2 linked regions of the Tamandua tetradactyla genome follow. The protein of the gene in region 2 interacts with the protein of the main gene of each other region in a pairwise test. Links are inferred from orthologs where the notes say so. Each region holds a gene or a part of one and is shown on either strand. Other genes may lie near its edges.

Region 1 (7,894 bases), on a different chromosome or scaffold from region 2:
TTGCTATCTCTGAAAACAATTATCAGAGTGAAACAAAGTCATATATATATCTCTTCAAAACCTTTTGGAAAACAGCTGAGTGAAAATATGTACTTGTGAAAACTGCTTTTTTTTAAAAAAAGGAACATCTTGCCAAAGGTTCAAACTGATTCCTTTGGGAATCCTTAACTGCACAAGTTTTATGTTAATTATTCTATTAAAGGTCTGGCAGCTTTATAAGAATCTTAAACTTGTACATGCAGATTCAAAATATCCTATTCCAATGGCCCAGAGTTAGGCTAGGAAAGCATTTCAGACAATGCCAACTTGCAGTAATGTCTGCCTTTTTTAAAAACCTATGGGCAGTTTATAACTTAAAGATTCATAGGAATTTGCTTAACAAATGTGAATGTGATCAGTTACTGCCTTCCAAAACCCAAACCTATGTTCTTTGGTATCTCGGCTGCAGTTTGTTAAATGGACAGGCTTCCTAAAGCCTATGAAGCTCATCTTTGCAGACAAGAACAGAAGAAGCATTTTACCACTTCCTTATGAATAACAAAGTGACCAGCAGTAGCCTTGGGTATCAAAATTTAAAAACACATACACAGACATCCTAATTTAGCTTGTGCATATCTTCAGCAACATAGGAGTTGAGTTTTAAATATCCAACATTTATACAAAGGCATAGATATACAAATATCACAAAAGATGGTGTTTATAATGCTTGAAATTAAACATTTACATAATAATTAGCAGTTCTCGAGATGCTGACATCTAATTCCTCTTTTTACCAAATGAATACAGGGGTGACATATTGGAGTAAATAAAGGATCTGGGAAGGATGTGGCCCTGAGCAATGCTTTTATTCCCATTTTCTTTCTACAGTCTAACTCATCTATCATAACGTCCCACATTCAGGCTCCCCCACCCTCACAGTTATTAATCTAACCTGAATCAGTCTATTCTTCTCCAAGAGAACACACCCTATAATAGCAGTGAATCATAGACACTCTTGCTTCTCCAGTCTTTAATGGATTTGACAAAATGCCAGGTCTGGTGGAATAAAAGCCAGGAATTACAGATGAGGGTAACTCTTTAGGCTCTTGTTTGGTGTAATATCCTGAACATTTTATTTGCCTGGTATGGAAAGGTTTTGATCACATTAAGGTATTGACCCTATCATATTTCCATGTTCTAAGTAACCATCCTACTCAGTAAGACAATCTCTCAGGCATGCTAAATCAGGGACTCTTTTATCTTGGGATTGAAAATAAAATCCTCTCTTGCTTATTTTGGCTAAAGAATATTAAATAGATTATCCACAAAGGCCACCCTTTGGTAACAAGGCACTGAGAGTCTTCAACAGTGTCTACGAGTGAAGCAATTATGCATGGAATTTCATATAAGATTTTTAGGTAATAGAGAAAATAGAAATAGATTGTCAATTATCCTCAAAGGGAAATTTATGAAATTACAGAGACTAAAACATCTCTTTATTTGGTAGGTCTGATAAAATGTAACTTGAACTCATGGCAAGAGGAACCTACAGAAGAGTTTCTGAAGGTGATTTTCAACTTATACGCAAACGTCACAAAAAATATTAAAACCAGTTAAGAATTTAGCACATTATATTGTGTGTTATAAAACTCTATGAAATCTATCTAAAAAGTTTAATTTCTCCTTCGCATTATAAATCAACTTAATCATGTGGATTTTGCACAATTCCTCACCCAAGTAGATTTAATTCTAATTTTAAAAGTGTATTTTCATTATATGTTATTTTTCACAATAAATTTTTTAAGTGTATTTTCATATCCTTGTTTAAAAAATACCTATAGATGCATGATATCAAAATATTTTTCAATGCAGAAAAGCCAATGAATTGCATGGAATTTAGGTCACCTTGAGGTTACTGTTAAGATTTGAAAAATAAAGCTACAGTCAAGAATTAAAAAATAATAAATCTTGGTGGTGCAATGGTGGCTCAGCAGGCAGAATTCTCGCCTGCCATGCCAGAGACCTGGGTTTAATTCCTGGAGCCTGCCCACGCAAAAAAAAAAAAAAAATCTACTGAACTTTTTTTTTGTTTTAATTATGAACTTTTTAATGGTGGTTAAAAGATGAGTATGTGTGTAGAAAGAGAGGGAGAGAGGGGGAGGGAGAGAGTGTGTTCATTATTCTTTTCATTATTCTCTCCTTCCCATTAAAAAAGTAGTTAAAAAAAAGTCTCATAAAGATTTTAGGTTTATGTCATCACCCCACCAACAATAATCACAGACAAGAACAGAAGAAGCATTTTACCACTTCCTTATAAATAACAAAGTGACCAGCAGTAGCCTTGGGTATCAAAATTTAAAAACACATACACAGACATTCTAATTTAGCTTGAAATTAATTACTATTATCTTTGAATTCTATTGTTCTCTATTTGGTAGGGTAAGGATAGCTCACTGGGACAGTTTTTTACTCTCTTGAAAAAGTTTCATATGAAACATATAATATCCAGTGTCAGAAACACCGAACTGCTTTATAGACCAATAGATTTCAGGGCCCTTTAGGGAAATGCATCAAACGATACAAAGAAAACTACAGGGACAGATCTCAGATCCCTTACACTAAACTGAGAGGGGAAGGTTGGTTTCCACATTGGTACGTGAAGGGAGTAAGTAAACACAAATTTATATAAGGAGAGAGCATTCAGTTTTAACAGTGCATGGAAGTCAGAGATATAGGTCAACGAATGCACATTTCCGAAATATATGTTATTCTAGGTACTTATTGTGAAGTTCTTTGAAAATCTGGCCCAAACAATCCCATTTTAATATACCAATTCACTTAAAAATAAGCAAGTCCGAACACTTGCTGGGCAAGATGTTATTTTCCTTTACGAGCCAGCAAAAACACAGCTCTAAACTTAGGTTGTAATGATAAAAGGATTTGGGAGCAGCTGACTTTAGGGAATCATAAAAACAATCCACCCTTATGCCCCAAGGTATATAGAACATGCAGAGTCTGCATTGTGCTTCCAGTGCCAGGACAAATCGTTTTGCTTTTTGCAGTGAGATTACCTGATGCCAATGGGTAAGTTAAGAGAAATTAATGTACAGATTGAGACCTGTGGTCTCGCCTGGTGAATAACTCCAGTATCACAAAGTCATGAGCTCTCTTCTTTGACTTTGTAAATTCCTTCAGGTTAACTTTTATAATTAATGAAAAATTTAGAAGTGGAATTTGTGTTATTGATTATATAGAGAGACACCAAGATTTCTGCTATTTAGGGTTTAATTTGTGAGGGAATTTTCAGAACACAGAATCTTTAAAAAATAATGTGGCCTTATTTTGGGCAGTGTGAAGGAATGAAAGAATTGAATCAAGTAGGGAATGGTGAATATACCTGCATATATAAATTGGAAACTATTGATGTGTCGATGTCTAATGTTGCTCTAATTGCCTCTCAAGAATTCTCATTTAATCCTCCAATCCCTTAGGAGTAAGATACTATTATCCCCATTTTAAAGATGAAGGAACCTATCAATACACAGAGACTGTACATTATTAGGTTTAAAAATAATGGAGTCAGTATTTGAACCTGTGCAATTTGACTCCAAGGTTTAAGTCCTTAACCACTGAATTAGATTGTCTTCAGGTTCTGTATTTGGACTCCACAGTTTAGGACTCAGTTATTTCCTTCTCAGCTCTGACTACCTCTAAGCCATTATTTTGGAAATTACACTATAAATAGCAATCTTATCTTATTTTTGACAAATTTTACATAGGATCTGTATTTCTCCCTACATAAGAGAAAGTTTAAGTAGCACCAAAGAGCTCAGATATTAGTAAAGATACAAAATTGTCATTCAATAGAAGACTCAAAGCACTGGCCCCTTAAAATTCTCAACATTCACTTAACTCAGAAATTACTCTTCTCTCTTCCCCTAAATCCAGTGCTCTACCCAATTCAGTTAACTGCATTGTTGCCTAGCAACATAGGAAAGGAAGTGGATTATCAGAGACTAAGATTTGCTGCCAGCGCTTCAGCAAAGACCTCTGTGCCTCAAACATCCGAATTCTCGATCAATACCCTCCTATTTAGTGACTGACTGCTTCTTGTACAGCTCCACAACAAATTTCCTTGCATTAAAATTTCCCTCAGATTTGACTAAAAGATTTGAAGCCAGACTAAGGTGTCTAAATTTTCAGGTAGATACAGTATTAGACAACGTGGTGGCGAGACTACCAAATTTGCAGCAGCATAGGTTAGAAACTAGTTGGAAGTTCGCTAAGGCTCTTGGATAAATGTATAACATGTCGGATTCTCACTATGTCATGTAACCCTAAAGCTGCTCTTTCGAAGTCTCTGCCTTTGGAGAGTTTACACATCGTAAATTTAACACACAGCTGGGGGGCTATGTGTCCCGTCAAGTAAGAGGAAGAGCCTTTGCTGTGGTGAGCGAGAGACCAACTGGCGGCCAGCGGAAAGGGTGGCGCAGGGGACGACCACTCGTTCAGGCGTACTTCACAAAGAAAAGAAGGAGGCGGGGAGGGAAGGCAACTGAAGATAAGAGAAAGAAAGCGAATCTGTAAGAGGAAGCATGCCCTCTTCATAATCACTTAAGCCTTGTGAACCTCAGCCCTGCCCGGAACACCGAACCGAAGCTCACAGCAACGCGCGCGTCGTGTTGCGGCTCTGGGAGGCCGGGCGGAGCAGCGCGCGCCAGCCAACCCGGCAGTCACGTGTCCTTCCAGGCTCTCGGGTGGCCCGCCCCCTCTTCGTTGCCGGGCGGAATAGGTTAGCGCGCGCCGGCCAGCCCGGCCAATCACGCGTCTGTCCCGTATCTCGCGTGGTTTCGACCCGTTTTGGTTGCCGGGCGGAACGGAGCAGAGCGGGCCGGTTAACCCGGCCAATCACGTGTCTACCCGGTTCCTGGTCAGCTGGAGGCTTTCCGCCGCGGAGGCTCGCGAGTTCTGCGGGTTCTGGGAGTGGTGGAGGGCAGTAACCTCCTGGGCAGCAAGTGGTTGTGTGAGAGTGGGACTAAGTCCGGGGTTTGCTGTGGAGTCGAGTTAAGCCCCGGTTCTGCAGTCAGGGTACCTCACAACCCACCTCAAGGCCCGGCCTCTCGAGGGCTAGCCTGGTATTTCTGCAAGGGTGGGCAGGAAGGGAAGGACACCGCCCACTCGGTTCATCTTGGTAAAGTTGATGCCTTTGTTTGAGGAAACAAATGTCAGTCGACTCATTTTCAGGGTTTAGTTACAGTAAAATGATGCAGACGTGTAAATTTCCCTCTGCTTATGTCCCATTTGCCTCAGCCCTGGGGGGTCGTTGATCCCCCTCTCAGGGGTGGTGTGGCAGGTCTGATTGATTTGGGGGTCGAGATTTCGGCCGTGTTTCCTTTCATTATGAAGCTGTCATACTAAATTGAAGAATTCCTGACTATCCAAAGTTATTTTTCCCCCATATGTCCACCAAAGAAACGTAGGGTCTTTATTGCTAGATTTATTTACATAAATAATGTTTATTTCGTAATGTTTTTAATGTTTTGTGCCTATTTAACCCATGAGTGCAACATTTAGAGAACGATTAAGGAAGACAAGATGTGACAGAAGTTGGAGATATTTTTGATAAAAACAAACAGGGAGACTTGTTTAAATGAGATACTTAGCCAATTAATCTGTCATGAAAAAACTAGTAGTCACTTTCATGTGGAAAACAGCCCTGCAAAAGAGCAGAAATGAATTGCAACTAAATGAAATTAGAGGAAATTACTGGCTTACTTGTGGGTGTTATATACAAGAATCAAAATTTCTTTGATAAGAATTGCAGATTATATAGAGTTATGGATTAATTTGATTTCCGTTTTGTGGATATTTTTCATTTTTACAGGTAAACCAGGATTTCTTCTACAAGATGGAAAGTCCATCAGACTCAGCTGTGACGTTATCTACTATGTCACAGGACTATGAGGATCAGTCTCCCCATACCAATAGTTCAAGGCAACAAGTAAGAGAATATTAATTCTTCCAGTAAATCCATTCCATATTTCTAAGTTTTGGAGGTAGCAGCTTTAAGTTTACTGAAGATTATTAGTATAATATGTTTCATTAAAAGGTAAATGTATTTTATTAACTATTAAATAATTTTAGATTTTTCTCTAACATAATGTATTTGATCTCAAAATTCTCATCCTTAATTCATTTAGTTTCTCATTGGTTTATTACAACAGAGAAAGTTTAAATCTGTGCAGTAGTTATCATTATGAAAATCTTTGGTGGCAGGACCTAGGTTTTTCCTTTAATTTGTAACTCTGAAATGCACATAGAGTAGTTAGACAATGCTAGTAGCTCAACATATGTTTGTGGTTACTGGGATAAGCTTAACACTCTTAATGGTATTATTGATCAAGCTAAAGTAAAAAGAGTAAAACTAGCGGAGCTTCTGGGAATTAAAACAGTTTTGTGGTGGTTACTGTAAGCAAATGGAGACAGGAAGCCATCTATTGGTGTCTACCAGAGAAACGTAGGGTCTTTATTGCTTGATTTATTTACATAAATAATGTTTTTTTTTCCTTAATGTTTTGTGCCTTTTTAGCCCATGAGTGCAACACTTAGAGAACGATTAAGGAAGACAAGATCTTCATTTCATTCTTCTTATAGCGTGGTAAAACGTCTTAAAGTAGAGAATGATGAAAATGATCAGAACTTTTCCAAGAAACCAGCATCTTCAACAGAAGAAAACTGTTTGGAATTTCAGGAAAGTTTTAAAGACATAGACAGTGAATTTGAAGAAAGCACATATTTGAAAAATACCTTCAAGAATATCAATACATGTGAATCTAAGTCACTTGATTTGGGGTCATGCGTTGCTCTCCAAAATGATTTTGTGAGTGAGAATCACCCTAAACAAGGATTCAAAGAAGAAAAAACAAAATTGTTGAAGCAGGTTGAGGAGAAAGAAGACCTTCTTCGAAGGCTAAAACTAGTCAAAATGTATAGATCAAAGGTGAGAAGAATTTCAGAACTATTACATAATATTTGTTTTTATTTAAGAAATTACATTAAAGTAATTTCTAAAGTAGAAAATAAATTTAGTTTAGCATAAGAAGCAATAAGCCACATATCCAGAAATCTGGATTCCAGTAACTTTAACTCAAAAATAATTAGAAGGGGCCTCTAAACACCTAATAGAACATTGGAAAGTCTCACCTAAAGCTACTCACTTGATTCTCATTTAATGTACAATTGGAGCTTTTCTCTCTAGTTTCCAGCCTTGAGCAATATTAGAAATATCAAATGGTAGATGCAAGTACAATGGGAACAGAAGGGACAGCTGACAGTGAATAAGTAAAAAAGCTGAAAGTGGGCCAGAGAATATAATAAAAATTATCTTTAGTAGTGATATTGTGTTACCCCCCCCAAATAATTAAAATGTTCCAGGCATTCTGTTTGAAAATACAACAAATATGTATTAAATTTTATATTTAAATCCAGATAGGTTGAATAAAATCGAATTTGGGCACTTGGATTATGACTTACCTGGATAATTCATATACATGCAATAGCTCATTCTCCACTAGCAATGTGGAGTAAATGATGGATTAGCATGTGCCATTTGTTCTTTTGAATTTTTAGGATTTTTCTGAACATGACTACTTGAGTTTTATAAGATTTTGAATGTTGAAAATATCTTTAATTTGAATTTTGTGTTATTTTAAAGTATAGTTGTACTAGGAAAATAGATTTTTTAACCTATATTGTTGTAAAACATAAGTTTTACCCTATTTAATGAATTTTTTTTTCCATGAGGGGAGGGATGGCTCAACGCTTGGACCAAACACAATAACCACAGAATTCAAGTTGAGTGGCTTTGTAACCATTCTTATTTTTCTCTGGGTAGAAGGCCCATTCATTTCTAGTT
Region 2 (7,405 bases):
TGGACAAACATCTGAGGGTCGTCCCTGTGTGGGGTGCTGAGCCAGCCAGGAACCAGCCAGATCCCAGCCCGGCCCTCACGGAGCTTAGAGCCTCCCTGCGAGGAAAGGCGGACACTCATCACAAATGCCTGCTCTCCTGAGACGCGGGCTCTGCTTCCCGGGAAGCACACGGGAGCAACGCCAAATCCGAACCAAGGAGAGGGCAGGCAGGTGCCTCGGGGCCCCAAGTCTACACTGAGACCCGAAGGCTTCCACAGGAAGGGAAAAGGCAGGAGGGGCACTTAGGAAGTCTGGACTGGATGAAAGAAAATCCCCGCCAGGTCCAGCCTGTCCAAAGGGTCAACGAAGTTGGCCGGCAGGAGGCTGAGGCCAGGGCCACTGGCTGGGGGCCTAACCAGGATGGCCCTCAGAGCCGGTAGGGAACATGAACTTTAGCCCCAAGGAGTCCTGGAAGGTTCTAAAGCACAAAAGGACCCAAACAGATGGCCTCTTACATGTACAGAACAGCAAAAACAGACTGTATCACATGCAGTGAGGACAAGCATGCCTACATACGCATGCGTCCCAGGTCAGCTATAAACTGCATTCACTACTTTAAGATTTATATACAAAACAAAAAACGACAGTCCCATTCTAATGTCTGGCTCCTTCTCTGCGATCAAGCTACAAATACTAACTTTGCATTGTCATCTATTAATAAAGATACGTTTTCACTTCACACCAAACTACTTCAGAGTAATGTTATTGCTTTTCTTGACAGGCAAGTGGAACTGTTCTGCATTTAATATTTCCAGAATATTTTCATCTGGTCCCTTTTGAAGTTTTCTCAGTTTGCTGATAGTTAAAAGTAGGAGCAATAATTGTGAACTATGAGAGATTGTCATGTCAGAGGATCAACACTTAGCTTTATGAAACAGGGAGAGTGTGTTTAGCTGTAGCTAAAATATTAATACAGTGACTTAAATCCAATATGCAAACAGTGAAGAATTTTCATAGGAGGCTTTTTCAGCTATTATCTGAAAATGCTTTCCAATATGTCAATCATTCTAACTTCTTTATCAAATAGGTGACAACTAAATGGTTATCTTCACATAGGTAGAGAAATTAATTTTGGCATTAGATTAGCAAAAACCTTTAAAAGAAAAAGCAGGGCAGCCACTGCTGATTCGGAACGTATAACCTCTGGCACACGACGTTCCTACGGAACCAAGTCCCTTCCTGCTTGAACTGTCCTCTTCCCTTTCCCATTTGAACCCCTTTCCAGCAAGAGGCTAAGTGCCCTAGAAGCAAGGTAAGTCCGAGGCCTACTCTCTCCACCTCCCTTCTCTGGCCACATTTTGGTGGGGTGGGGGAAGGAGGTCAGGACTAATGCAGAAAATAAAAGTTAAAAGGAGAAGTCCCTACAGAGTGGAGGCCAGCCAGGCTCACGTCCTGACCACTCTGACACCTGCTGACTTCACGGGGTGGTCTCTGTGCTGACCACGAGGGCATAGCAGCCCCCAGCAGGCTCTCCTTGCAGCTTGTGCGTTCCCCAAACACTGTCCAGGATGCACTGGAAGTACTGGCCCAGCCAGGGGGATGAGCAGACCAGGTAAGACCACGCTTGGGATTTGGGGAGGCTCTGAGAGTTTTTCAGCACAAGTAGGATGTTCACCCCCGAGACATCCCAGGGGTGTACACATTATAAGCTAAGGGAGGACGGGTAAAGAAAAATGTATAGAAGGGTAAAGCAACCAGCCTGTTGAAAAGAGTGAGGAAAATTAAGTGTGGGCCGAACATCAGGCCAGATGACGCAGCCCTGGAGGCAACCGATTCCCTTTCCCACAGAACACCCCAAGTCCCTCAGTGCACCATGGAGATGCAGCACCCTCTGCAGACACACTCTGGAGAGCTGCAGGAGCCCCGGCAACTCCATTCTACAAGTGAATGTTGTGGGGCAGCTTCTATGTACCTTACCCAGGGCAGGTCACCCAGACAAACAAATCACAGTCTCTGCCATCCAGGAATTCAAAATCCAGTGGGGGGAAGCTACACAGACACCCAATCTCAACTTAAATCGTCCCGGGCGGACCATCAACAAATACTAACATTCAAGTCCCCCTACAACTTCCTCCAACAGGTGCAGACCAAGCATCCAAAATGTGGTGCCCTCTCTGCAGTGGGCCGCGAAACTAGGCGGAAGAAAAAAGGGAGAGAAACAGAAGGAAGGATTCCGTTCTCCCAGGATTTCCTGGGACCCTTCCACACGCGAGGCCTCGGGGGTAACCGAGGGGAGCACACAGGGCCGCGCCCCGGTTGGAGGGAAAAGTCACAGCAGTGGCTCTGCCGAGCAGAACACCAGGCGCTCCGACGAGACACAGGGGTGGCCTGGAAAGGCCGGGCCTGGGGCGCCCGCGCGCTCCCTGGAGACGGCACAGGAGGGTGGGCGAGACCTGGAGGGCAGGGGCAGGGCCAGGGCCTCCGCGACCAACAGGTCGAGCCCAAGCGCTCGCCCCTCGGGCTGCAGGTCCAGGGCCGCGCACAGCATCGCGAGGCCCGCGCGCCGCCCGCCGCGACCCCGGCCCCGGCCACGACACCGACCCCGGCCCCGACCCCGGTCCCGACCCCGACCCCGGCCTGATCCCGGCCCCGGCCCCGGCCCCGGCCCCGGCCCCGGCCTGATCCCGGCCCCGGCCCCGGCCCCGGCCCCGACCCCGGTCCCGACCCCAGCCCCGGCCTGACCCCGACCCCGACCCCGGGCCCGGCCCCGGCCCCCCGCACGCACCGCAGGCCACATGCCCGCTGGTGCCCGGCCCAGGCCCCGGCCGGACCTCGATCCCCCGCAGCCCGGCCCCGATCCCGGGCCCCAGCCTCCCGCGCCCACCTCGGTGATAATGTCGTGCAGGTAGCGGAAGGGGGGCTTGTTCAGCAGCTTCTCCGTCAGCGGCGGCCGCCGAATCACCTTCCCCAGCGCCTCCTGCGTGCGCCTCACCACCGCCGCGTTCATGGCGGCGCCCCGCGCCCCTCAGCCGGCCCGGTCCGGCCCCCGCCGCGCTGCCCAGCCGCCCCGGCCGGCCGCCGCGGGGTCCCATCCCACAGTGCACCGCCGCACGCCACGGCGCCTGCGCGGAGGACGCCGGGCGTTCTGTCGCTAGGGCAGCGCGGCCTTAGCAACGGACGCGCCGCCCGCCCCGCCCCGCCCCGCCCCCCCAGGAAGGAGGCGGGTCTGGGGCCCCGGGCCGCCGCCCCGTTTCGGCCAGGATGCAGAGCGAGCGCTCCTCGCGTTACCGGGGGCCCGAGCGCTGCGTGACGGCGACCTAGGCGCCAACATTTGGGTTGGCGGTTCCCCAAAGTTCCGAGGCTCTCCTCGGCTTTGATTCTCCGGGGGAGGGGTGGGGGGCGGGCGTGTTATCTCAAAAGACCAGAAATGGGAAACGCCGTTTCCACCTGTTACTGATTATGGCTTTACTGGGCAAGGCCCTTGTGTGCTCTGAGACCCCGTGAATGGTCCTGTAAAATAGGACGACAGCGCACCTGCCCAGCCGACCCCCATCCCAGCCAGGTGAGGCTGTGTCACGGCGTGCACAGTGACACCTCGTGGCCGCCCACCCTGCGGAGCCGAGCTGCTGTGCTCCGGCGGGGTCCGTGGTCGGCCCTGCGGGCCTCGTCTGCCATGCGCAGGCTCACCGCTAAATCCTTCTAGCACCTTGGAAGCGTTATGGTGGTTTCTAGTTCTTCGAATGGATGCCTTAATAACTTTTTATTTACCTTCACTTCTGCCATTTTGAAAGTCCTTCATTCTTTGTGTAGATCCAAACTTCCATCTGGTACACCGCACTCCTGTCTGAGGAACTTCTTATTTTTCTTTCAGCGCAGCTGCTGGCAATGAGTGCTCTCACCGTTTGTCTGGCAAAGTCTTTATTGCACCTTTCCATTTAAAGGACAGTTTCACTGGATGTAGAATTCTGGATAGAAATAATTTTTTGTTTTTTTTTCAGTACTTTGAAGCTGTTGCTCCACTGGCTTCTGGTTTGCATAGTTTCAGACAGGAAATCTGCTGTAATTCTGACTGTATTCTGTCTATGAAGTTACTTTTTTTTCTTTGGCTGCCTTCAAGATATTCTTTTTGCCATTGCGTTTCAGAGGTTTGACTATGATGCATCTAGATGTGTTTTTTAATTTAAATTCTATATTAAGTATTATTTATGTACAATAAAATCCACCCATTTTTAAGTGATACATTTTGTTACCTTCTGGTAATTATATTCAATCAGATAGCCACCACCACAATCAAGGTAGGAAACAGTTCCTGCACCCTAAGAAGTTTCCTCCTGCCCCACCCTGAGCCCCAGGCAACCCTGATGAATTTTTTTTCATTATAATTTTGCCTTTTCTAGAATTTCATATAAATGGAATAAAACAGTGCATAGCTTTTGTGTTTGATTCTTTCTTTTATCATAATGTTTTTAAGACTCACCCATGTTGTTACATGTATCAATATGTCATTCTTTTTTGTAACATATAAATATGCCCTGCATGTATATACCACAATTTGTTTATCCCTTTGCCAGTTGATGGACATTTGGATTGCTTTCACTTTTGATTATGTATGAATAATGCCACTATGAGCATTCACATACAAATCTTTCTGTGGATATAATCCATTTTTCTTTGATAAATATCTAGGAGTCTACTCCTACTACTGGGTTGTATGGTAGAGTAGGTTGAATTGTGTCCCCCAACAAATACATATTCTTAATTTTAATCTTCATTGCTGGGGGCATGAACTCATTGTAAATAGGACCTTTTGAAGATGTTATTTTTGTTAAGGTGTGGCCAGCTGAATCAGGGTGGGACTTAATCCATATTATTGGCCTTATAAAGAGAACCCAGAAGTCATAGAAGCCAGAAAGGAAAGCATATTGTCATGTGGTGGGAGGCAGAGATGCCAGCCATGGAAGCCCAAGGTTTGCCAGCAACTGTAATGCTCCAGACTCCAGAAAAAAGCAAGCCCTGCCAATGTCTTGATTTGGGAAGTCTTTTAGCCTCGGAGCCCTGAGCCAATGAGTGCTTGTTGTTTAAACTAACCCACTGTGTGTTATTTGTCATAGAAAACTGGCAAACTAAGATAATGTGGTGAGAATATGTTTAACTATATACCATACTCTTTTCAAAGTGACTGTGCCATTTTTCATTCCCAGCAGCAATGGCCAGGAGTTCCAGTTCCTCCCCACGCCTGCCAGCAGCTGGCATCATCCGTCTTTTTAACTACAGTCATTGTAGTGGTTCTAGCAGTATTGTATTGTGTTTTAAACATGCATTTCTCTGATGACTAGTGATTTTAAGCATTTTTCACTTGCTTTGTGTCCATTTATATACCTTTGACAAAAATATTCCACAGAGTGTCACCAAGCATCTATTGCATCACGGCTTTGAGCTGACTTCTGTCTAGGTGCCGGGATGTAAAGAGGAACAGCTCTCCTAGTAAGCAATGTCCACTGCTGTCCACTGCCCCTGGGCCCACCCCTCTCTGTGCCACTGATCACATCCTGGACCCGGGCAGGGGTGGGTGAGGGGAGCAGGGCTCACCTCCCCCCAGAGGCATCAACCTTGCTTCTTGTCACCACACAGATGGGCCAGCTGCGTGAGACGTTCCAGAGAGGTTGGGAAACACCCAAGAAGAAGACAAGCCCTCAAGGAGGGAGTTTAACATCTCCCACCGAACCGCCTGGGGTCCACGGGAGAAAGTCCTCCAGGCACTGCACCCTTGGGTGGCTTCCCTCCTGGGTGGCCCTCCATTCTTGCCCCTGCTCCCCACCTCCAGGTCACCCTTGGCCAGGTGCCTCTGTCTGACCCAGCCTTGTTGAATCTTCCCGACATTCAGGAAACACCACCCTCTACCCTGGGGGCTGCCCTCCTCCAGCGTCCATCCCCTTTCCTGCGGCACCACAGTCCTCAGCATCCGTTCTCCAGGGCTCCGCAGGTGGCACCCGGCCCTCTAATGCCCTGGAGCAGGCCAGGCTGCTGGTGGTCGCCGCGAAGGGGGCCCCTCCAGGGCTGCCCAAAGCCCCCTCCTTCTCCTGGTTGTCCACACACCCCGGTAGCTGATACGCATCCCGCTTCCCAGGAATAAACGTTAATTTCCCGACAGTTCTCCCCTTGACCTCACCTCAGGCCTCCCAGAAAGTTTTCGGAACGGGCCGGGCCCCGGGACACTGGCCCTCATCATCCAGGCTCTCTGTGCCCTGCAGTTCCCAAGCGGCTGGGCACGGGGACGCCACAGGCTTCTGGGACCTGGGTGCTTCTCTGCTCTCCCCAGGCCATGGGCAGCAGAGCCGGGCTGTCCCCTCATGTGGTGCTGGTGTGGGGTCCTGGGGTGTGATGCCAAAGGCTGGGGGCTTTCCAGGGCCACGCCCGCCTTGCCCTCAGTGCAGGCTAGCTGCCCGTGGGCAAGCTGGCTGCTGGCCAGGGGCTGCTGCCACCCGGGCCCCGAAGTCGCGTCCACCTGACGTGAGCTCTGAGGGTGGGACTGGGCAGGCCTTGCCTTAGAACAGTGTTCAGGGCCTCCGGGTCAGTAGCCAAGGTCAGCAACCACTGAGTCCCCCTCTGCCCCGGCTCAGGCCGACCCCAGCCGGCATCCGTTGCTTAGGGGATGGCGCACTTGGGACTTGGGCTCCCAGTGTGGCCGCGGCGGGCCGATCAGGGAAGATGTCGCGGCTGGTCCCCTCCACTCCATGAGGACGCTGCGGCCCTCAGGCGCCACAGCTCCCCTGCCTCTGGCGTGGCGCCTCTGAGGGTCTCCCTCTGGCCATCCAGTGAGAAATGACGTCTCCTGCCCGCCTCGAAGACCTGGAGGGCAGAGAGACTATGCCATGTATAAGGCCGTGTGGCCTCCTGGCAGTGGCCCAGCCCCAGTGCACGCGTTGGGGCGTCTGGAGGGGTCCGGGGCATGGCTGCAGGCCCCATGGGGAGCCGGCCTGGAGGATTTGGCCATGGGTGGACACACAACCCAGAGGCCTTGGGGAGCTTGGGTTCTACGCGGGCCTCGCCGGCTACCACGTTCCCTCCGGCCTGGGCACTGCCCCTTGGTGGGCCCGCGGCTCCCCGGGAGGGCCAAGCCCGCGCCCCGGAGAGCGCGTGTGGGAACACGCAGCTGAGGACGCTGGACATCAGGGCCTCTGTGCAGCAGGCGTGGGATGGAGCCTCCTGTTGGGGGGTGCTGGGAGGCAGCGGCTACATGGCCTACATCACCTCCACACTCGCCAAAGAGTCCTGAAAGCGCTGGGGGGAAAGGCAGAGAGCATAAAAAAAACAGAGTCATTCATAAACACAGAGAACCGCCTGAATAACTATAGAAAAATACCACAAAGAAAACGTTTGAAAAATAAAAAGCTGGCAGGGGATGCTTTTGAAATAAGTAGTTTCT

Evidence for each region.
Region 1: the proteins of TRAF3IP1 (region 2) and SFR1 interact in a two-hybrid assay, tested with the Homo sapiens proteins (2 studies listed by BioGRID and IntAct). The link is inferred for Tamandua tetradactyla from reciprocal best matches to the Homo sapiens genes TRAF3IP1 and SFR1.

What each region holds. Positions count from the first base shown.
Region 1 is NC_135339.1:66,210,166-66,218,059, forward strand, and holds the start of SFR1 (swi5-dependent recombination DNA repair protein 1 homolog), read left to right. Parts: upstream 1-4,884; 5' UTR 4,885-5,179; coding exon 5,180-5,203; intron 5,204-5,863; coding exon 5,864-5,980; intron 5,981-6,568; coding exon 6,569-6,979; intron 6,980-7,894. UniProt on the Homo sapiens protein: Component of the SWI5-SFR1 complex, a complex required for double-strand break repair via homologous recombination. Acts as a transcriptional modulator for ESR1.
Region 2 is NC_135329.1:214,818,529-214,825,933, forward strand, and holds the start of TRAF3IP1 (TRAF3-interacting protein 1), read right to left. Parts: upstream 3,037-7,405; 5' UTR 2,987-3,036; coding exon 2,864-2,986; intron 1-2,863.